Linked DNA regions of Lepisosteus oculatus. The protein of the gene in region 1 interacts with the protein of each later gene in a pairwise test. Links are inferred from orthologs where the notes say so. Each region holds a gene or a part of one and is shown on either strand. Other genes may lie near its edges. The genes, in order: plin1 and abhd5a.

Region 1 (12,228 bases):
CAGATTTGTCCTATTCTCGTGTCTTTCTGGTTTGTCCCGTTTATTTGACAGGTGATCAGGTCTATTTGTGTGCCAGCTTGGACCGGTTGAAATCAGTCCAGGTTGGTAGCCTGTTTCCAGATTCTCTTTTGTACATAGATCTGAAGATAAACTGAAATAACAGATTTCCACTGCTTTGTCTATCTGATCAGTTCTGATGTGGTCCAATCAAGGGTTAGGTTAGGGCAAAATAACCAATTATTTTCAATTTCCTTTAGTAATCAAAGCTCTCTATCCACAACCTTCCACATCATCACAGGCTCTCAGACAACGCCCGTCTCTCCCCTAGGCTTACCCTGACCTTGAGTCTTAGTGCCCTGCTGCCTGGAACTGAATCCTGAGAGAAGTGCATCTCATGTATTTACTGTCACACGCAGTTGCAGTAAGTCTTGGGTAGCCTAGGCGGTTCTGTCTAGACATTGGCAATGATCAGCCAAGGCAAAATAAAATGGAAAAGAAAACAATGCACTTTTATTGAGTAATAGTGTAACCAGTCTGGGATTTTACTTAAGCAAGACAGAATGGAAAATTAATAAATGCTTACGCACATGTTTAGATCAATGTGTCATTCAAAGTCAATAGTAATGCCAAAATGGTGTACACAGAGCTGTGCCCGGGTACATTTCAACAAAAAGTTGGGTGATGTGTAAAAAGAAGAGCTGTAAAACTTTAAATATGAAAAGCATTGTAAATGTTTGGCCGTGTTGGTCTGTAACCAACTGAAACTTTATTTTTTTCTAAAGTGGGGGTCTTTTGCATCCACAAATGAATAATAACACTGACATTTATCCCATTCCTGTGCAGAGCTGCTGCTGCTCTATGAATGGTAGGTTTATTAGCACACTGGCAGGAGCACATGTTATTCCACGATCACAAAGTCGGTAATGCTAGAGATGCTCAGGCCAGGCAGAGCTTATCCCACTAACACAAGGGCACTAGGCAGAACTGAGTAGACAAGAGGCATTCTCCAGACAGGTGGACAGTCTCCCCCCGTCTCCTCTGGTCCTCTGATCACAGGACCAGAGGGTGAGGGACCAGTAATAACAGCCAATCACAACTAATCAAGTGGAAGGAAATTTGAGGACCTGTTAATAATCCACACAAACAAAGAGAGAACTCAGAAATAGCATGATCCAAGAGACGGCAGCACAAGTCAACAGACTACTGTGTGGGCCGTTGCTGACATGGAAACTTCCAAAACAAAATTTTTACTGAAAACAAAAAACACTAATGCTACTTTCAAACTTAAAAAAGTGTAAATATCATGTTGAGAAACTCATTCTAAGTTTATTTTTTAAATTCATTTCTTTCACAGCGTGTTTTTCAGCTTTCTAAAATTACTTAGCTTTACCTTTCAGCTTTCTAAAATCAACAGAACTGGAGCTCTGAAAGCAGGGCTGTTAACATTTTCAGCTGGTACTGGCTCACTGTATGCCACAAAACTTGCACGGAAAGATGGAAAAATTGAGAAATAAAATAGAAATGGAGAAAAAAAGGTGTTGACATTACTGAGAAGAACAGCACAACTTGGTATAATACAATTAACAGCAGTGTCAGGTCTCAAAGGACAACCTGGAAATGTCTGAATGACAGAGATATCAGAGGATAGCCACATTACCAAGAACCTCCTTATTCTCTTGTGTGTGTGGGGTGTACATATGTATATCTTTGATATTTCAATTATTACACTAAACATAGTTTGGCACCTCACCTAAGGCAGAGATTTTTTCTGAGTAAGCTTAGCTACTTAAAGTGGGAGTATTTCAGAGCTTTGCTCTAAATCTTTTACAGAATGCATCTTATACAATATGTGCTGTTTTTCCTCTTGGTTTGTTAGTATCAGTACTGCAAACCGTAATGGGTTCGGGGAAAATAGCGAACATAAACAGCAGAATCACTGGGGTAAATCAGATTGGTCTAAATGCACTCTACGAGCTCAGGGGTCTATTGAAGGCTAGCAGGCGTCTGGATCAGGCCCTCCACCGGATAACAGCTGATAATCTAAAACTAACCAGGTGGAAGGGACCTGAAGTACCCACCCACACTCCCTGAAAACACCAAGAGAGCATAACAGCTCCACACAGACACAGAGATCCAGACAGTGCTGATCTCACTTCCATCTGGAAGACGCCTCTGTGCACAGAAATGTACAGTATCTGCGTAACTGTTGCTCCCCTCTGCAATTACACTTTAAAATAATGTATAAAAATATGAATTTTAATCACAGCTTTCACAGGACATGTTCCTGACATTTTGTTTTGTCCTGACCTCTTTTTTTGGTGGTGATGGTCATGTTGTGTTGGACAAATCTCCCCTGGTGTCATTAATAAAGCTTGAATTAACTCTCTGGAATCCCAGCACAGACCAATAACCTGCGCAGTGGCTGTCTGACTGTGTGCTTGTAGCCTTGAATACACACTTCACACCTCTACAATTGTTTCATATGGCAACAAAAACAAGGAAGAAAGGCACTGCCCTTATAAATACAGACTACTGCCCTGCAACTAATTCACTAGGAATAACAGCAGCCAGGAATTCAGTATACTGAAAGGTTTATGGATTGCACCGGTCACAATAAAATTTGTCTTAACCCCTTGGCTGAGGGCTGACCTCCTGGCCTGACGAGGAGGCTGGAAGCGAGAGGAGAGACCAAGGGCAGCTGCAGAGGTGGCGACGAGCTGAAGGAGGGATGCGATAGACTTATGCGAGGGAGAGAAGGGGATTACATCATTTTTAATGTTTAAGTGAAGAAGTTACATCAGAACTGATGGCGAATTACTGACAGCTGAGGCTGATCGAACTCGGCTGTGTCCTCCATCCTGAACGTTCATTATAAACTGCATTTACCGTAGCTCAAGTGGGCAGCTGCCTCAGCAGCCGTAGGCCGCAATGGAACAAGTAAAGGTTTATTCCATGCTGAAAAGAGAAGGAAAGAAACAAAGGTTCAGCTGTGGAGCCTTCTTCAGGGGTGCTTCTTCTACACCCGAAGAAGGCTCCACACCTGAAACGTTGGGTTTCTTTTCCTCTCTTTTCAGCATGGAATAAACCTTTACTTGTTCCATTGCACTTATCGTAGTCTAGCGTAGCGGGCGCACAGTGGAAACTGGAGATCCACGGGGCGAAGGCGTACTCACTCTGCGGCTCCAGTCTGTGGATGGCAGGCTGGATGCTCAGCACGGCCAGGCTGGTGGCCACCTTGGCGCCCGTCTCGTACACTTCGCAGACGGAGCAGACGACAGGGTGCACGTGCTTGGTGCTGCTGTAGGCCCTCTCGATGACAGCGAACGTGCCGTCGACCACCGGCAGGGCCAGGAGCCGGGCCAGCACGCTCTCCTGCGAGGGGGGTCAGAGCCAGCAGTCACTGCCCTGAACAGTTTCCCTTTTCCCCTTTTCCTTTCGTATTGTTTTCATCATCCAAGCAGATGAATTTAGAAGTTACCTCCTTGGCACACGAAAATCAATTTCTCCTTTAAACATTTTAATTTCATGTGTGCTTTTTAACAGGCAGCAGTGCTCCTTAAAGGACTTCATAGGAAGCTAACAAGCAACCCTAACTTTTCACAAACGGACCATTACTTTTGTGAAGGAGAAGTTAGGAAGATCTGGCAGTATTTGTACTTGCTGTATTTGTAAAGTATTTGCATTCAGTCATCATTCCAAAGGCAGTCATTGTTTTAGTATTTTTGGTGTATTCTGTGAAAACAAAAAAACGATTTTTTCAGAATGCTTTTCTGTACCTCTGTGCTCTCAGGTGGAGCAGGCACTGTCTTCTCTGTAGCCATTGTGGAAGTTCAGCCTGTCAATAGAAACAGAAACTGGGATTCTCCAGTGAACAGTCAAGAGATAAACTGTCAGGAGGTGGCGGATAACAATCAAGGTATCTGCCAGATCGTCTCCGAAAATGAGTTCCCAGAGTGAAGTTTCCCAGATTAACCGTTTCAAATAGAATAGCCCACAAACTAACACACGCAACCAACAACTTCGTATCAGTCATATTCCAGGCAAGCGGGTCAAGAAAAGCAAACAACTGAAAGAAGACTTTAATTTGGAAAACAGAGCCGTGCCACATCTAATATCATGAATGAAAAGAATTACAAAAAGCATCAGAAAAATACAAATAATCTCATACTAACACTGCACCGCTCATGAAGCTAGGATACCCGTATGATACACACGGCTTGCATTAACAGATTTTGTTTCAGTCCGTAGTCGAAAAAAACGTATAAATATGCTACAATTAAGATATTTTTCTTCATTGTACCCCTCCTGCTGAGTGCTGTAAAAACGCCGTTTTGCGTGGCTCCGAATTTCGACCAGTTTCACTGGTGTTGCAACTACGTAAAACTTATAAACCAAACCCGCAGTAAACACTTGCGAAATCAAGCACCATAACTACGCATTTTTAAGTGGCGAACTTGGTGGCACATGGAAGGGCTTGGCATCAGCTTCATTTGTGCCCTCTTGTCTTCTGAGCCCTCGGAATCCCGAAAACGTTATCTGTCACAACAGCGGTGCAGTCCTGATGCTTCCCGGCCGGTGCTATAGTAATACTCACTCTAGCCTGAAGGCGCAGCGCTCACTGTGTCCGCCACTCGGCTCCTCTGGGGAAAGGACTGAGCGGAGGGGCCTCGGGCAAATAGATACCAGCTGTCATTCCCCGCCCACATCGGTCCAGACCTGTCCAGCACTTCCTCCGCGCTGGAAAGCAGGGGTTTTTAAAGGCTCGTAGAGATGTAATGACTTAATGTGTGATGCTCAAATAACTCATGCATTAAGGATATCACGTTTTTTTTCCCTCTTCTCTAGAACATTTTCCTAAAACCCTTAGCTTACTTAGGATTTGGGACAGTGTCTCTGCGATTCAGTGGCTATGATGCCAAAACTGTACAACTCGGAATGTCATTTCTAAATAGTGATTAAAGTTTTTATTACATATACATACGACTGCAAATCGCAGTGATACCAGGATTAAACACCTAAAACCCAGAGTTATGGTTAATGCTCACTACGACAAGTGGGACACCGGGGAAAACGTAAATACAGTTAATTAATGGTATAATAGAAACCATAGGAAAACCGCGAAAATACTATTCAAATTTGACATGGTATACTCAGTTCGTGAAGCACTGATAGTGCACTGTGCTTTCTAATTAAAACATAATTGCACATTCCTGATCACGCGTTTAGAAGAGCCTAGTGTTCGGAGTGGCTCTACAATCTAACATTTGGGCTACGACTAAAGTTTTCGGTAAGGTTTTTACAAGTGTTTTATGATGTAGTTTAGGCCCAAGTAAGACTTTTTGCTACACACAAGGTATGAATTAGGGACAAAAAATGTTGTTTTTCGCGTTGGCTCTACTACGGCTCAGTTTAGTCAATAGTGTATAGTAAATAGTGAGTGCTCGAAGTCAGGGGAAAATTGGCTATAAGACCTAGCTGTTCAAGCAAAGTGTATGTTGGGTTATTGTTGGGTAATAAATTAAGAGAAAAGGATTACAATAGTAATAACAAATTAATTAAATTTAGCATAACAGAATGATAAAGACTTAATGTATTTGAAGCAGGTTTTGTTAGTCTAACAAGAACTTAACCCACTGGTCAAAATCTTAGTAATTCCCACCCAATAATGTTTTGAGCCACTGTTATCCAAACCTATCAATTTGTCTATCTGGATCCTCTTCACGAAGGCAATGGCCTACAGCAGGAGTTTGTGGACCTCCAGAGATCTCCGGAGACTGTTCAGGTGTCCCCGGAAACAAAGGGAGACTTCTCACCTTCGGGCTAAAATAGCTCTTACCAAGAGTGATTTCTCAACAAAAAGAGACCACCATCCAGTGTGGGAAATTCCTATGTTTGGGTTCGAACTGCATTGCTCCACCATTTTTCACTTTGTAACGGGTTTATTCCATGCTGAAAAGAAAAGAAAAGGAAACAACGTTTCGGCTTCAGAGCCTTCTTCAGGTGTGGCTCACCCTTCTTTTCAGCATGGAATAAACCTGTTACCTGTTCCTTTGCAGCTTACGCATGCTGATGCAGCCACCTACTTGAACTATTTTCAATTTAATTGAGATGGAGGGATTCTTCAGGCTAGGCAAGATTCTGGAAATATTTTTCATGCTCCTCAAGCCAGCTGTGGATTGCCTGTTATAGTCTCTCCATTTTAATACGGATTCATAGTATTTTGGCCAATTAATGTATGTTGGCAGAAAAACAATAGGTTCATGACCAGTGCAGTTACAACTATGTCAAATTACAGTGTTAGTCTTTGTTCTTCAATAAGCCCCAGATTTCTCTCTACTCATGTAGTCTGTGAGCAAATCCTAACAATCTGGGTGAAAGGTGATTTTTTGTGCAATCCTGAAGGATCATTTTGAAATCCTGAATCCGAGTCAAACATTCGTACAAGCTCGGTGTCACAGAGGACATTCTGTCTGCAACTCGGGATTGACCAGTCCCCTAACAACGAAGCTGGGTACAGTATCTACAACAAACAGCTTCTTCTTTCTGTGTCTGGACTTGAATCAAGTGGAACTGACTTTGAAACTGCTCTCCTCCTTCATTTGCATCCTCCACAGCATCGGTTTCAAAAGATGTAAATGTATCCATAAAGCAGCTTATTTCTTATTTTAGTTAGAATAGCTGCAATTCTAAAACTCCAAAAAGATATGCTATATAAAGATGATACAATATCACAGAGTATATAGTAGCTTTTAAAATGAGGATCTGCTGTCTTTAAACCAAAGTTCATCTCTGTTAAGGGTCACAGCTGTTTAAACAGAAATCGAACAAAACAGAATTGTTGATCCATCCATTTTCATTTGGCAAATATCTTTCTCTATTCTGATTAAAGAAACATTTAAATATTTTCAACCTGGTGAAATTAAAAAAAGTAATTGTTTATTTCAAAAGGGTCTGTTGTACAGTAGAATTAAAGTGTACCATTTCTATTAATATAGAAAGATAAAAAACAGCATAGAAACAAGTGCCATCATGAACATTTAATACATTTGTAGCCCTATGTATTTATTACATGTGCGTGTGCAGTTTACTTTTGTCATCGTATGACATACAGCACTTCCCAATACACATAATTATACTTTGTAATTTTTATAAAGGCTAAGGGTTGATTCTAACACTTCCTTGTTTTAAGGGATGCCTCGACTCTACATTTTTCAAAAACGGGAGCTTCAAGACTGTTTGCAGAGAACTTACAAAAAGTTCTCAGAACTACAAAATCTCAATTGTTACAATAAAAAGGAAGGCTTTATATGTTATTTTGAAGGTAAATCTTTTTCATTCTCATTGTTAATTTTGTTAAACACAACCATATACAAATCAATGGTATCTGCTTGCTAGATCTCAATATAATTTAGTTGAACATACTCTATATACTGTAACGCATACGGCCAACATTACAGGTTGTGCAAGCCGGTTGCCAGCGCAGTGATGTCACCGCCCTTCCCTGTGAATAGCAGGGACCTCAGCCGCTGAGCTGAGGGGAGATCTCCCTTTAGCTAAGCCGGCTGGGTCCCTGTTGAGTGACTCCAGAGGCCCAGGTTCGAGCCCCCAGCGGTGGGGGGCCGACTTGAGGCGTCAGCGGCGAGGATGCATACCCACGTGAACCCGAAAGCGCTACAATATTATTAATCAAGAACAGTTTTTCTATTGGTTAACATAATTTGTAGGAATGACTAGAAAGAAATAATTTAACTAGAGAACAAGTTCTGGTACCAAATGGGTGTGAGGTAGGAATAGTACTAACAGCTGGCAGTAGAAGCAGGTGTGTGCATTCAATATCTACCTCATTAACACAGACAAGTCTCTGTAAGTAGGTAGAAAAAATACAGTGCTTCCTTGATTTAGCCAACATCATACCAGGTAGTGGATTGAAAGATATTTGCTTTATGGAATAATCATATTTTCAAGAAAATATTGTCATTAAACTTAATCTTTGAATTCTTTCTTTCACTTATGAATGTGATGTTGTTTCAATTAAGCAGACAGCAGAATTTTCAACAGCACAGAGTAGATAGTTCTTCTCCTCATACTAAGTGAAGTGTTCTGTCGCTCTGTGGTCCTCTCATTACAATCTCCCAGACGTGCATCCCTTTCAAAAATTATAAATAATAAGAAACTGAAATTAGGTTGACATTAGTATTCTTTTCCAGATTGAATTCTTAATCCTCTCTTTTTATGATTAACCCCCTTTATATAAGGGAAAACCCCACACTTGCACTGGCAGCACGGTTTCCTCTTGCGAACAGGTGCTAATTTGCTCCCTGCCAGTGAAGGAGTAATACCCCCTATGGAGCAAGATCAGCACCCCCCGACTACAGAAAGTCAGCAAACAGCATTAGGATTGTTAGTGATCACTACCCATAAACCTCTGCAGCTCAAGCCGCAGCACCAAAGCGCTCAGCAATCTCTCTCGCACCACCAGCCACCTTGTCCCCTCCGCCGGCGCACAGCTACGGTTTCACTTTCAAGCTTGGCTGCAGGACTGAGAGTATTCCCAAAACCGAGGAGGCCAGCCCACAAAACCCCACCACCCCCGGGTTGGTCTTGTATATGCGGAGGCTGTCCATTGGGATGAAGAGGTCGCAGACGTTCTTCACCGTGTCCAGGAGCAGGGGGGGGTGGCTCCGGAGGCTCTCGCAGAGGAGCAGCAGAAAGGCGTCGAGCTTCGGGACCACCATGCACGCCACGTCCCCGTTGCTGCCGAGGTGCCGGCTGATTTTCTCCTGGACCTGCTTATCCCGGGCTCTGCGTCCCATGATGCGGGAGATCTGGTACAGGTCCCGCGCCAGGTTCAGGAGCAGGGAGACGAGGTAGAAGCGCGAGGCGAGCAGGCCCCAGCGCTCCTTGTCGAGGTGCTGGAGGAACCCGAGGCTCCTGGCCCACAGCAGGTTATCGCAGATGAAGTACAGCGCGCGGCTCAGGTGGGCCGCGGCCAGGCAGGCGCGCAGGACGGGATCGGAGAGCTGCAGAGTCCGCCTGGCTGCATGCACAGAGCTCACGGTGTTCCCCAGCCTGAACACTGCAGGAGGAAGCAGGCACAGGCACAACTCTGAGGGTTCTGTGAGAAACGGCTCCTTTCCCGTTGTCTTGCTCAGGAAAAGAAGGCGAACCCCGATTAAAATGGAACGTTCACTTTTTCAGTTATGACACAAGACAGTCGTGCGTCCAAGCTATGCAGCGTTGCAGTGGTCAGCATTGCTGCCTTGCAGCTCTGGGGTGTTGGGTTCAATTCTGGACTTGGGGCACTATCTGCATGGAGTTTGCATGTTCTGCCAGTGTTTGCAATTCCCTCCCCCCCCCCACAAACACGCTGGTAATTTAACTGGCCTCTGGAAGAACTGAACCCAGTGTGAGTGGGTCCATGTCTGTGTCTGTGATCGAAGGGCAGCTCGTCAAGGGTATACAATACCCTGCCCTGCTGCTTGCTGGGACAGACTGGGGCTCCCCCGCCATGCTGGACTGGGAGAAGCAGTTAGAAATCGGTCCTCCAGTGTGGACAGCGAGTCACAGCTCTAAAACACCAGCCACCTGCTACTGGTGGAGGTTCCTTGATTATGCAGAGATGTGAAGGTTCAAGAAGCCAGAAGGAAGACACTGCTCAAAGACAGATTAAAGACAAACCCCCCTCCACCCCTCCAAGATTAGGGGTATCCTTTATCGCGGTAGTCTTTGAACACTGCCTGGTATGTGGGGCGACAGGAAGACTCCAATCCCCGGTGCTGTATGTGCAACTCCTTTGAGAAGCACACAATGGAAGAGCACACAGCACCCCAACACAATGGAAATATATGATCCACATGCAAAGTAAATCAGTCAGAACCTGCAACCCCCCTTTGTAATTATAGCTGCTTTATTCAGAAGCACTTGACTGCTGGGTGTGTTTGTCACAGGAGCAGGTACTTACATTTCCTCCCTGCGCTCATATTCTTTTCCAGGTTGTCCAGCTTTCTTGCTAATTCTGCCCTTGCGGCCTTATTTCGTATCAAATACTTCAGCAAGGCGCATGCGTACTGCGTAGCTCTGAAAGGAAGCACATACTGCACTTTCAAGAGCGTCTTCCAGCAGGAGTACTGAAACAGAGTTTGATATTATTTTCTATTTTGTTAGACCTGATTGGGATAAAGTATTTGTTTTTATTATTTAGCTGCTCATTATTTTGGCGAAATACTTCATCCACAAAAGTAAATGGTCTAATACTGCTCCCTCTATTAATGCTTATAAGATAGAATTCCTTTTTTTATTTGAATTCTATTAGACATTTAAAGAATCAAAAGGCAAGACATATAATGGAAATATGTAAAAACCTTAATCTTCAGCTTTTATCCTTGTGAATTCCTCTGGCTGTGAAGCGTCTATTTCTGTAACTGTTTTAATATTGTCTCCTTTTTTGTATTTCTGATGTTTAAATATATTTTTTTAAAGTATTGAAACAGGCTTAGATCGTGTAGATATTAATTCTTTATGAGCTGAAATTTACAACAAGCGGCAAAATGTGCTCTATAAGATGGGAAATGAAAATACAATACAAATTTAAACCTCCAAGTAACATCATCTTGTTCTTGCTATTGTTACACCAGTCTTTTTATTGGGGATTCTGAAAAAGAAAACTTTTATCCAATGCTAGATTTCTTAGTAAAAAAGAGAAAGAAACTACATCTTTATGCACCTGCGTTCATGCGGGAAAAATAAACGCTGAATTGGTCAACCACCAATACACACAGTGATTAAAAATAAACTAAAACATGGTGATAATATTGTGGAGCACGCCGATTGTCGATCATCTCTCTCCGTTTGAATTTGAAGGAATAGGAATTCTAGATCATCCTACTCCTAGTGGGAAAGTCGGGCGAGATCGCATTTCTGTAAATGATTTAAATCGACTACGTAACTTAAAAACTATTTCACCAATCCCTTAAGCGAAAGAATCTTTGACAAAGATCACATTTTTTTATTTTGCACGCTCTTATTTGATTTGATTTTGCTTTATTCAGTTCGACAACAGGTGTCATACCAACTCGTTCCACTTAAATATGATATTAAACACGTCTTTTAATAACAGCCAGGCAAAAGGACATTCTGTTCACCGTTTATGAAACACACGCTTTAATTCTACATTATAATTAATATGCGATCTTACTACTTTGAGTGTCTGTTTGGGGACATATGTCACTTCAGTTCGTCAACAAGACACTGCAGGTTGTAACACAACTACAGGTAGTAATACTATAATCGAACAACTTACCTGAAAATCCGGTCCCTTCCCTGGCTTTGGTTAGTGAAGTTTATGAAATGTTCCATTATAAATGTTTCTCAAGATTAATAAATTGAACCTGTAAGGCACCGCTAATGGAACGAGGTACTTTTGTTTTACAATATGGTCGTGTGATGTAACATTCAGCAGAGCCTGCAAGTCCAGGAAAACGGACGGCAGCGGTAACTTTTATTTAACGCCTGCCGGGTTTAACGAAGGAGCCCGTTTTTTTTCTCTTATACAAAACTGAAGAAGCTACACAGCTGAAGTAAGCGCTGCCAGACCTTTATTTATGGAGCCCCACTGACGTGAGGAGATCCTAGGCTCCCTTTCACACAGACCCGTGGGAAACAAAGGTCATTGTGCATCAGCCACGCTCGTCCGCAAACACGGCTCGTGTAATAATACAGAGCACAGCAGCGCGATGAGCTGTGGTACCAGATAACCCCGAAACGAGTTCTCCATTTATGCAGAGAGATTGATCTTTTAGTGCAATTAATTTGGTTGCAATTGCTTCGCATTCAAAGCCAGACGTTCAGCTAATCTTTAGTAGCCCTTTCTTTTCTAGTTTGGAGCATAAAGGTTTCGCTTTGTTCTGCTTTCTATAGTTAAGGGTTTAGGAACTATACTTTAAAGAGATGTGTAAATACATACATAATGCAACACTATATTGAGGACCAAATGGAAACGTGATCAGCCTGTTACGTGTTAAATAACAAGTCCCAGATGCCACAGGGAGCATTTTTCTAGGCGGACAGGTGCCGGTACTTCCTGTAGGGGGTACCATGGCAACCAGATACAACTGCTGATGCGGACGAAGAGAACTGGTGAGCTGAACTCGTTATTTCTTAAAACTTTTTGTAGGTTATTGTAATTTCACATGAATATCGATGGCAATCGTGGCTTAGTCCCGTTTTCTT
Region 2 (12,514 bases), on another chromosome or scaffold:
ATCATGGCAACCATGACCTACATTCCGAAACAGAAGTGCAAAGCTTCACGATAATCAGAGTCCTACTTACTGCCATTCTTTCCCAATCAATGCCGTTATGAAAAAGGAACTGCCACGTTAAAATATATTCAGAAAATGCTAATGAAGTGCTACTGTACGTTATACCACAGAAAGATGTCGATTGCCTTCAGGAATTCACATGTGTTTTAAAGAATGTGAATTCTTAAGAAATCTCAGAGATGACAAGAAACCAATCACCCCAACTACAGTCAGCACAGATCTCTGCGACTCCACACACTGTACGTCCTAAGCTGCACCTAGCTATTTTGAATTGTTTATGAAAACAGATTGCAGGATAAAATATCTAAAAAAAAGGAATCAGTAATGCGGAAAGTAATTTTAATTTCAAGGTCTCAAGCTGTTTTCTAGCTTGTTTAATAAGAGAGTAAGCAAAGCTAAGTAAGACGAGGAACTATCTCTGTTCTTTCTTATCTACACACGGCTAGAGACGATATGCTGAGGAAGAGCTGAAACTTTGTATTTTACCCTTTACTTTTCGGCGTGGAATTAACTTCTTGTTCCCTTACAACTCTCAGCTCCCCACTCTCACCTCTTCATTGGTAAGGTGATCAAATCCATATCAATTGCTGGAGGTGATACAGTGTGAGCAGCTGCTTAAATGGCAGACAGTGGCACAGTATGCAGGGCAGACACTGATAACAGGTGCTATAGGGATACATCACAGAGAGCTTTTGATTCACAGTAGTCAAGTACACTGCACGTGTTCAGGAAGTGGTTCTTCAGAAGACATTTCTGGGGGTTACAGGACCAGCTGCATGGTTTGTTTAACAGCACATGTAATTTCGAAATATTTTATGACAAAACATGTATTTAAAAATACATCTTCCTGCCATACCTTGTGGCTGTGCAAATAAGCCATAAAACAAAAAGTGCTTCCTTTTTTTAGTTTTGCTTTTGACTCCATCTATTCCCCATTCAGATCAGTCTAAAGTGGAGACCATGGTGTAAAACCCTACTGTCACAGGCCTTTGTTGGCTCTTCTGGAACCTTCCAGGTAAATGTTTGTCCCATAAAACTGCTGGGTCTTTTCAAAAGGGAAGCAATTGAGTTTCTAAATCAACTGCCGTCAGACCCTTCACCTTGGAACAGAAATGCAGAGGCTCGGAGCAAAACAACATTGATTATCGCTCAAAACCTCAGAGAGGTATGTTTACTTTGCACTGTCTTGTTGCAGTCCAGTGACCTGTGACTAATTGATTCTTGCCTATTTATCGTGTCTTCCTCAAATAGTTCTGAACAGCAGGATGTCCCTCATAAAGATTTTGATACAATGCAGCAGACATTTCTAACAGATTTTTCACTTGAGTGTAATCTATGTATTGAAAGTACAGATGGTCACAGGAAGGGAAAACACAAACACAACTGCCGTTTAGGTAAGCTCTTCAACACACATTAACCTCTTCACCTCACTGTGCCTTCACATTAAAACAACAGACTGTTCATAACACATGCTTTACCCACATACATTACAATACCTTAACAACAGTGCAAGAAGCTCTTGAGATTTCTTTAACAATGCAGTGAAATTGCCACTTTCCAAACGTGGGACACAAACAGAAGTGACAGGAGAGAAAAGGCTCATTTTCAACCTGACTGATGCAAACTGTCTGTACTTTTATAAAAGTGCAACTCTTTTTCCACACATGACATAAATCAATTAAAGTGAATGAGCAACTTAAAAAAAGAGGTTGCACACTAAGCCTGTATGTGTTACTCTGCCATAATAAGATGGCAATGGCAGTGAACTGAACCCACAGTAAAGAGAGAAGCCTATATCTACTAAAGAACTGAATATCAAATTGGGTTCCATGGGCAGTTAAGGTTGAGTGATAAGCCAGTTTAACTGATTGTTTTTTTTCTCTCAGTCAATTAATGTAAAGTGGTTTGTGAATTTACTTATAAATGGCAGCAATCGCTGTGCCATGAGATATAAACCTTGTCTTGATATAATGTCACGCTGTGAAATGGCCAGGCAGAGTTTGTCACAATGAATGCAGTCAGTTATTCTCTTTATTAGTAGTATTAATCACAAGCCAGAAATCATGCAATACGGTAGGTGAGTTTGTTACCTTGAGGTAGATTCCAGGAACCTCAAGAATTTGTAGTACAGAATATGAATACCAAGATTCATCACAACTCGATGGGCAGTTCTGAAGTAAAAGAAAAAGATGTCTTTCATTCATTTGAACACAATATTGTGCCCTGAATTTTGTCACTGTTAAAGACGAATCCCAGTACAACATTTATGTAGATTTTTTATGCCCGGTGAACTTGTCATACATTTTATATTCACATGATAACACCTTTTTACCTACAAGTGCTCGCAAACACAAGAGGAATGAGCCTCTTATTCTGCTTGTGCAGTACTATTCTGCACTTGATGGCCAACAGCATGGGACACACACAGGTAAAGAACACAAACTGAGACTGTGGGGGAACACGAATTTCAGCCATGTGTTTGGGATTTCAAGACAGAAGCACAGTTACTATCAGCATCTGTGCAACATATTAAGAATCTCAACTATTAAACAACTGAAGGCCAGGAGTAGTTAACCCTAACCCTGGGGAGCCACTTAACATCAGATGTATATGGATTACCCTTAAATCACCAATTTCTGAGATCTTGGGTCAATTTTCTTGTTAACCCTTACATCACATTCTGCAAGTAAATGATTAAATGAAGGAGTTTAGCATGGAGCAGAAAATGAAAATGCCATCATCATGAAGCTCTGAAGGATCAGAATTGGCAACTCTTGGTTTAACTGAATTCATTCACTTACAACATCAAGACTCACACATCCCTATACTTTCCAGAGGGAGCTGTGCTGGACTCTTGAATGTGATGTCAGGTAGTTGACATTTTTAAGAATGACTTGTGCGCAGCAGGGAATGCAGACACTGTTCGTGAAAACACTGCATTGATTTCAAAACAACAAAAACCTTCTGGTGATCTTATAACTGCAGATATAGTATTCTGCTGCTTCCCCTCAAGACAGGAAAGCAAACACAGTGAAAAGTCCTGATTTTGTGTTGCACTTTTCGTATCATTTTTCTCACAAATTACACTCAACCGTTAAAGATCCTCTAATTCCAAGAAAACACAGCAAATAAATGCAGGCACGTGTGTCCCCCTTGAACCATTCAATAATTGCAATAAAGGATTTTTAATGCTTTTGAAAATGTGTAGTGTAACGCTGTAACTATAACTTGACCTAACCCAGCATGGCCAGTATATATCCAATTAATTAACGGTTACAAATGCACTAAAACGTAGCTACTTATACAGTTACTTACATTGTAACTTGCCATACATAAACCTGAATATAATGTAATTCACAAGTATTTAACTACAGACTCTCTCAGATGAATTTAACCAGTTAATACTCCTGACTTCTAATTAAAATCATCCACAGTGGAATTTATACACTACTCACACCTGCTTGCAGTGTAAAAGAAAAACGCCCCAACATGAAGTCCCTTTTACTCCAACAGCTAATTTGCAGAGCAGTAGTACTAACACTTCATGATTTCCAAACCTTTGTACAGCTACTTCATTTTCTGAACGGGGCTGAGACAAGATCAAAATAAATGTGTTGAATGAAGCGTGTGGTGTCTTCCAAAAGTATGTTTCCAAACATGTGACCGATCGACAGTCCAGCAATCTGTACCTGTGATAGTGAGGCAGGTCCAGAGATAGCCACTCACTACCTACCCAGGCCGGGACATTCCCCGATCCTCACGCCCGAATCCGATCGGATGAACAGACACACGCATGGCCACCTCTGGAAGTGCCTCTCGACTGTGTTAAGGAAGTAACGCTGGCAGTAGCACTGTTTTCTGCAGCCTACGAAACATTGTCTGCTTACGTAGCGAAAAAGTTTCCATTCCAGGGGATAGCACTTCACCAGGCGGTTTCATAACGTCCCAAAACATATGGTCAACAACCAAGGCAGAGCTCAGTGGGTTGCAGACTCCATGTAGTTATTCCCTCAACATCATACTGCCTTTTCCACTCTGAAGTCTACCCACAGGGATTGTGCCCTAATGCTTCGGATCACTGATACTGGGATTTGCTGTCCCAGTATTTTTTTATGAGATTCTGATATGGAAAAGGGGAATACCATATGTCATTTTAATTAGGCACTGATTTCAAAAATTAGGTGCAGTCGACTTCATGTTCTGAAAAAAATGATTTTTTCCAATTAACTTTGTGCAAATGTGACTGAAATATACAACGGGGGTCTCTATCATGACTGTATAATGTGATTGGGCTACAACGTCGCACAACAATACAGGAAATGTAATTTTTGAAAGCACTGACCACAGCATTTGGTAAAAAGTGACTACTTAACCTCATACAACTAGCAGCTGTGTGGGTCTGTGCAGGAAACGTGTTTGGTAACAGCGGGCGGCTGCTGAGAGCTCTTGCTTAATTTCCAGGCTCTAATGCAGCCCAGCAGGCGAACTTCACAAAGCCAGACACGGAGAGCCCGTTCCGATACCACGACCTATGATCCTGTTCAATATACCTCTCTTGAATACAGACATTAAAACAGCATATAAACGGTCAGTAGTGTCACCCATCACTTAGTTCAGACATCAGTGCAACTGGCAGAGTAGGGACACACACATACCGCATCAGGCTAGTAACACAGCAGCGGGTGAATACAAACCGCAAGTAAACATGCACCCAGTTAGCTCCACTTCTCGTTAGTCAAAGCATTGATACACTGACACGTGAAGATGTACAGTAAGTTTGCTGCTGTTATTGCACGCTGTCAAGTTTCACAACCCAAGGTCCCGGAGATGAACAGTCCCAATACGCATCACAGAAGCGGCAAGCGATTCGACATCCCAAACAGTTCTCGCTTTCACCCGCTGTTGGTTAAGTTCGAGATTCTGAAACACCCGAAAGGGCCATCGCACTCAAAAGTGAAGGCTCCCGAATTGTTAACCAAAATAAACACACCGCACTCACCCTCTCTCCACTGACATCGCCTCTTCGGCCATCTTTCCCAGCGCCGACCTGCAGTGACGTCACCTCGCCGCGTCACAGCGGGGGGCGGGGCCAGGGAGGGGGCGGGGGCGGCGCGTACGCTCTCCGGGAGAGCAGGCGAGGGGTGACCTGCCATCTAGCCGGGCGTCTTTCGTGCGGTTGGGCGGGACGCTCCCCAGCCTGGCCCTCCTCTCCCCATCAGAGCAATGCAGACTCAGCACAGAAGCAGGATGATCACGCAGCCTTGTCTTCCGTGCTTGCGGAAGCGGGAGGACCCGCTGCGACCGCCCCTCACAGGGGTGTACGTGAATAAACATAAGCATTGGTTTGTTTGTTATTTTCCCTTTTTTAAAAAATCTTTTTTATTGCAATAACAAACGAAACAAGAAAAATACACACAACACAAGCCAGAGTACATATAAAGATCATCAGGGGTACTCAACACAGGTGCATTGTGCGAAAAAAAGAAAAGACGAGTTGAGGTAAATCAAGATGGGGCGCGCCCAGCCTTCACGTTCCTGCGTTCAGAAAGCGTGAGGCCAGTGAAGGCCAGGGACCTAGATGTCTGCCTCAGGTTTCTCGTTCCATTTTCAATGCTGCTGCAGTGATGTTATGTCGCCTTTCGCCAGTACATGACTCTTTTCGGTCAGTACTAATCCGGTTGGAATACTGTAGTATTCAGTGAAAGGGAATATCCAAATAAATAGTGACTGTCCTGTCCAAATTGCATCTTTCTATGGAATATAGTTCTAGTTCAGGAAATCGCGCAAACCAGTTTTAAAAACTCACAATAACACGAACTTGCACTAAGAAAAGGTGATTGCACTTTCTGCTTATTACTATGAGTGATTTTGTCTCTCTTACCTTAGTGTCTGAATATTGAGATGTTTTGGTGATGAGGAAAGAGGGACGAAGCAAATAAGCAGAAGGTGTGCTATTTTGTTGATTATAAATCCTCACATGCCATGTTCACAGGCTCATATTAAAAATTCAGTGAAATTCCCTGAAGTTCAGGATTTTGAAAGTCAGTTACATTGTCTCTCACACCTTGGTGTCAGCTTTGTGAAACGAGTTTATAATCAGGAGGGAGGGCCACAGCGAGACAGCAGAAAATGCAATCACCATTTGCCCATCCATTCTCTCATGCCATGTTCAGAGGGTCTTATTTAAAAAACGGAACAGTAACATTTCCTGAAGTTCAGGATTTTTGAATGTCTGTTCCATTGTTTCTCACATCTGAGTTTCAGAATTTGGAGACGTGTTTATAACCAGGAGGTAGGTTCATAGCAATAAGCAGAAAGTGCGATCCCCCTTTGCTCGTCCTGGGTTAACCGTATATTCTCATATGCCATGTTCTAAATATCCCATTTAAAACGGCCATATTCAAATTTCTTGTAAAATGCAAGATTTTGAGACTAATAATGATCAGAAGGCAAGGTCGTGGTAAATATGCAGAAAGTGACAGCGAATTCACGTTTTGCCTTTGCCTTATTAACTCGTTGTCTAACACGCCAGTTTGTGTTATTGTGAGTTTTGAACGTTGGTTTTCGATTTTCTGACATGTGTTTCACACAAAAATGCAATTTGGACAGTCACCGTTTACTTACATATTGCCCTTTACTGAGGATATGTACAGTAGTCCATCCGGATTAGTATTTAAAAATGACCGAAGAGAGCCATCTACAGGCGAAAGGCGGCATAACGTCACTGCAGCAGCATTTAAGGTGGAACAACTCTCATCGCCGCAGAACGGACAGGACGGACAAGTGCACTTAAATATACAGGATAAAGGCAGTGACCAGGTCCCACATGGTCTTTGTAGCTATATATGGGTTCAAAGGGGGGGAGTATATTCTGTGTATAGTACAGTATCCAAAGTACTGTATACTTTATATATTAATATGAAATAATATGAAACGTTTATCCTCAGATGGAAAATAGGAACAGAAAATCCGGTTACATTGGCAGTGGGATCCTTGTCTGCAGGCTGCTCTAGGTTTAGAACGCAGTATGTTTATTTACTAAACACAGAAGAACTAGGAACACACAAAATACTACCCCACTATACCGTTCCCTACAACCCTACTGTAGAGTCGGTGCTAATTATGCATAATGAGCATTTATGTCATTAGCCTCCGCTGAAATTGTGAAAACGATGTTTTTTGCAGGTTTTGTTTCAGAAATAGAGTATAATGTGTTGGTAAAACTGATGGAAAAAGTCAGATTGAAATAAAAAAATCTAGTTTTACATTTATAGAAATATTTTGGCTTCAGAATATTACTTCTCTGCTCCATGATTGAGAACAAACATTTCTTAAAATTGTTCTACACTGCTCACTGCCAATGGCTACCTTAACACTGCAATACAGCTACGGAGATTTCAATAAATCACTGTTCACCCAGACCACAAAAACATGTCTTGTGAGCGGGCATTACATCTAGATAAATCCATTGAGCAACGTATTTCCAGTTATGAAATAATGTCGATGTTTCAGACCCGTTTTACAACAACACCCTCACATGACTGCAGGATGAGCCAGGGCAGGCGGTCTGGACTTTTTAAAGAGAGAAATTGACTCTCTCTTTAACCGAAGAAGAAACAAAAACTCTCCCAACACAGGAATGCAAGGTAAAGAAGAAGATCACATGATGTTATTTTTGCTATACTTGTAAACTGCAGGCATTATTTTTCTTTTTTATTACAAAAAAAAACTGAAATAAAATGTGTACAACTTTCCAGGACAGACTCTTAAACCAGCTTCAGTTCTTGGCAGGTAGATAAAGTTGTCTTAGTCCAGTCTTGCCAGAAAATATGCAAACCCAGTTCATCTTTCACAAACATGAACAATCCTCTTTAAAACGCTTTTAGAACGAATTCCTGACCCCCAAACAGAGCCAGCGTTGGCCCGCCTTATTATTCACATACGGGGACATTACTCTGCAACCACCTTCAGCACGTTTTCGGAAAGGAAGTCACTAGCGTGTCAACTGCGGTGCAGGATTTCCCTCCGAGCTGCTGAGCTGCTGAGCTGCGGTCCGGGCGCTGCAGGCAGGCTGGGTGGATGTGTGTGTGTGTGAGTGACTGGACCAGCTCTTCTGCTGCGCCTCCGCCCGGCTCGGCGCACGGTGACGTGGAGAAGCAGCAGGGCGCACCACCAAGCAGAGCTCGGTAAGAGCCGAGCACAACAGCCGGGAAGTAGCCCGTCCGTCTCATTGTAACAAACACTGATACAGTGGTCACATTTTATTACTCTGTAATCATTTCCTTATCGCAGACCTGGAAGAAAAATCTGGGAACGGGTAAGTCTTCTCAAGCAATGACAGCTGACATTTACTCAAACACGGGGCCTACGTCTCGACATTGAGTGTTTACGTGCTATAATGGGGTCAGGACGCAAAGAAGGTTTGTGGCTGTCAGTAACTATCTAGGCTTGATATCTTCTGAATGTTTTACACATATGTGTCTCTACGGCAAGTTATAAGGTACAATTTAGGAAAACTCCGCCCTGAAACAAGTCCATGCAGTTACTAGCAGCAGATTCGGGTATCTTGCATGTCCCCCGTATTGTGAGTTGATTAATAAACAGCGCTTTGTATAATATTGAATTATTAAAATATAATGTTTGGTCTCAATTTAAAATATCAAGATGTAAAGGCATGACAGTCTTCATTTGAAACTACACTGAGAGTTTCACGCAGTTTATTTCTTCAGTGCTTATTTTTATTTGGAGAATTGTGATAAGCATAACCTCGGTTACTAATCTAGTTTTAGATCGAGAGTTGTTGATATATTTCATTTCATATATAAACGCAAAGAAGCCTTTTTATTGCACAAAGACATAGAACAAAACATAATGTACTGAATATGATATGAACAGTGTTGCACTAGGAAAAGGCTTTAAGTGTATCTTTTTTCAAAATTCAGGTTCCAATTGTTACTTAATTTTGAGGATCAGTAAATTAAAAAATCAATGGCCCTGTTTTTAAACGGCTAACTAGGGAAAGAGCAGTCTAAAATTCAATATTAATCTTAGAGGACACAAACCTATCCAGTAGTGTTCGGTAAAAAATAACTTTACTGAGATATTACGATTCTAGCTAATTACAGAGACAGAAGGAAACATCCAAAATGGTTACAATGCTGTTGAAGAGCATATTAGTTTATAATAATACCCTGCCGACTACAGCCCAGTGTTAATTCCCTCTCCCTATGATCCCGGATGTCCAATATTCAAAGGGACTCAATCTACCTGATTTAAAACCCATCACCAAATCAAGAACAGAACAAGGTCCACTCCCCTACTGCCTCTGTTTCCGTCTGTGAATTCCCTCTTCCTTTCTCCATTTCTGCTCTGTGACCTTTCTCTCCCCCGTGTCATTTTGTGTCTTTTTTTATGTGTCTCTCTGTGAGTCAGACGTCTGTTCTTCAGTTGTGATTGACCAGAGAAGAAGATGTCTTTCGACCCCCTGTCCCCCGCAGCCCGCCCACACCTCGGGAAACAGCTAGATTTCTACCTCGTTTTCAATTCTGTGACCTCTTCAAATCGTGACGATATTGTCAAATATATCCTGACAAATTAAATGACGAAAGCATCTTTTAGGCATTCTGTCGCACGCACATGCCAGTTATAAAAAAGAAAAGTTCATCACTATACTGGTCACGTACAGCCAAGGTTCAACAGCACTCAAAGGTTCTCGCTCTCTGGATTATAATCCTGAAAGACGCTCTCCTGGGATCTCCCTGGCTCCATGGCTGTGACACAGGCCCCTTCGCTGGGCAGTCACGACGCGCTGAAACTGAAGTTCATATCTAACAGTCTTGTAAGTGCGTTTGAGTCATTAGGTAACACTCAGAAATCCCTTACGCACCTATATTGAAATAAATATATCGTCTTTTTTTATTTGTCTCTTTGAGTTTTTAATTAAAAAAAATGTTTTTAAACTATTTTACTCGATGCTCTCGGCGACTGCCTACAGTAGTTCGTCTGTTTGGGCGTGCCGGCCTGCATGTACAGATTGGGGCGGCTTGTCACCCCGCGGCGTGATTGGGCGCAGAATGGCAGGCAGGAGAAGTAGCTCCAGCCTCACTTGGGATTGTTGCCCTTCAGGAGAACAGGGGGAAGAGCTAGTCCTGGAGAGAGAGAGCGAGAGATTGAGGGATTCACTCAAGGGCCATGAGGATACAGAGGAAGAGCGCTTCTCTGTTCATCAGACAGTCCTGTGATACTGCCGGTCTTAGGTTGTGATGCGATTTGAGCTCGAAAGTCTTCTCTCACCCAAGGCAGGGGTGACCAGTAAGGTCAGGAGAAGTCACAAGACAGTGGTTAAACTGGCATCAAGGTACAACACATGTGCTCTGTATACTGTGTGTAAGTTAGAAATCTCCAAGTGCAGTTTGGAATAGCTCATTTTGTTTAGGGAGGAGCAGCTATCTGGAAACAGTTCTTATTCAAATGTGTTCGCCCTCCCTTTGGTCACTGGGACTCCCCCAGCTCTTGTTCTTGGGGTGACCACCCCATAAGTAAGACCCCCCTAATGGTATCAATTTAACAATTTAACAGTCCTGCCAAGTCTCCCAGACCAAACCACCTGTCTTGCCGGCAGTTTGTGTGAGTTTCCCCTGTTGTGTTGTTCAGGAAGCCTGGAAATGAAAAGAGGCTTGTCGAATTCTCCCAGTGATGGCGTCTCATTCACTCCATTGGTGGTCCTTGAACTGGTCGAGGACACCAAAGAAGAAGCTGTGACTTGGCTACTTGAGAAGATACGGGACAAGCAGGAGAATGGAGGTAAGAAGTGCAGACACTGGTGTTCATGTCTTCCTCTTCTCTATCCTGTGGAAGCTTCCAATTACACAGGGAGCCAGTCATGTGCTGTTTCTGTCTCAGTCGGTTGTTATGCTTTCTGGGGTTATGTTTTTAGCTGACAAACTTATCTTTTGGCCTGACCTGTTTTCGCCCGTTTCTGGGATCGGCCTGTACTGGACAGGAGTGCCGCGTGGACGCGTCTCTCTGCGTGTCGGGGCCCGCCATTTGTTCGGTGTCGGTCGCCGGCTGGGCCCGCGCTGGCTGACAGTGATTCTCTCGAAGGGGCGGAGCTGCTGGTGGGGCGGCTGCCGAAGGATGGCTGGGGCGACGGCGGAGGGAACCCCAACGTGTTTGTCGTGGGGGCCTCCAGAGACAGGCTGCTGAGTGGCGCCGAGGACGTCGGCCTGGTGAAGGAAAGCAACGACGGGTCGATGCGAGGATTTACGTTTGTTAACAGGAACAATTTTAAAGATTTCAAGGGTAAGGGCATCGGCGCACATCAGTGTGATTGAGGACGGTATTTCAGATAAGTGGACTAGTTCGACAGTTAGGTTAGAGCAGTCACGGTGTTGTTCAATATTATGTTCAAACTAAATATCGGTAGTCTTCAGCCGATAGGTCTGCGACAGGACCTGATCCGGGTTTTCAGAATCACTGAACGAGGTTCCAGTGGGCGTCTTCAGAATCAATAGTGAAACTGCAGAACACAAGTCCCCAGGTGGAGACTGAGAACAGGAGGCATTTCTTAATGCCAGGCAGTCTTGTTATTAAACACAGGCAATAACGCAGCTGGATGAGACCCTTGGATTCCAAAAGGGCTAGATCAACCAAATAGCCTTTTTATGTTGTCTAAAATCAAATGTTGTCTTTGTATGCACGGATTCTATACTTGTAGACGTTAAAGACTGTCGTTGTTTTTCTGCAGGTGACAGTGATGAGTTCCTCAGTGTGGCGGAGTGTCAGTACATTATTAAGCATGAGCTGGATACTCTGAGAGCCAAGGAAGAGAACAGTGTCCCAGGCTATGCGAAAGTGAAGCTGTACCCAGGAAAGTCAATCTGTAAGTGCTAGTCACAGAGCTCTTTGTCTTCTTTAGAGATGTGGGGGGAGTGCTTAATAATATTCCTTGCACTTGTTTAGTGCTTTTCGCCCCAGAATATCGCACAGTGTTTTACATGTCTGGGAGGAGACACTTCTTGTGCCACTGAAGTACAGCACCTGCTGGGTGGAGCCCTTCTGCACCAGCAGCTTCACCGCACAACACACCAGTAGAGAACTGAGGAATGACTTGGAAAACCAGGGAGGACACAGTGCAAACCCCACGCAAACAGCACACCAGGGCTAGCACCTCCACTTGTACCCTTCAGTCTTTCATGATCAGTGACAAGTAGTCAAGACTCTGGCTTAATGCCTCATCTGAAGGGAAGCTCTTCCTATGATGTTGTTTTTGGTCACCAAACTGAGGTACTGGCTTGGGAATCCTGATCCTGAGGAACAAGATTCACCTACTGGTCCACACAAGCATCTCTTGCAGCTGCATTTCACGTCCAGTTTGTGTCTTTCCATCTGTGCTTTAAACTTGAGCAGTTCCAAGATTGTTTGAAACTGGCTAGATTGCCATTAAGTTTTCAGC

Evidence for each region.
Region 2: the proteins of plin1 (region 1) and abhd5a interact in a protein complementation assay, tested with the Homo sapiens proteins (3 studies listed by BioGRID, with this or other methods). The link is inferred for Lepisosteus oculatus from reciprocal best matches to the Homo sapiens genes PLIN1 and ABHD5.

What each region holds. Positions count from the first base shown.
Region 1 is NC_090700.1:52,663,748-52,675,975, reverse strand, and holds the start of plin1 (perilipin-1), read right to left. Parts: upstream 4,714-12,228; 5' UTR 4,595-4,713; intron 3,836-4,594; 5' UTR 3,822-3,835; coding exon 3,777-3,821; intron 3,373-3,776; coding exon 3,174-3,372; intron 1-3,173. Other genes in the region: pex11a (peroxisomal membrane protein 11A), read right to left, coding at 8,508-9,076, 9,962-10,077, 11,300-11,355. UniProt on the Homo sapiens protein: Modulator of adipocyte lipid metabolism. Coats lipid storage droplets to protect them from breakdown by hormone-sensitive lipase (HSL). Its absence may result in leanness. Plays a role in unilocular lipid droplet formation by activating CIDEC.
Region 2 is NC_090705.1:42,881,102-42,893,615, forward strand, and holds the start of abhd5a (1-acylglycerol-3-phosphate O-acyltransferase ABHD5), read right to left. Parts: upstream 5,130-12,514; 5' UTR 5,092-5,129; coding exon 5,060-5,091; intron 2,232-5,059; coding exon 2,151-2,231; intron 1-2,150. Other genes in the region: ano10a (anoctamin-10), read left to right, coding at 8,140-8,246, 10,718-10,863, 11,164-11,361, 11,807-11,941. UniProt on the Homo sapiens protein: Coenzyme A-dependent lysophosphatidic acid acyltransferase that catalyzes the transfer of an acyl group on a lysophosphatidic acid.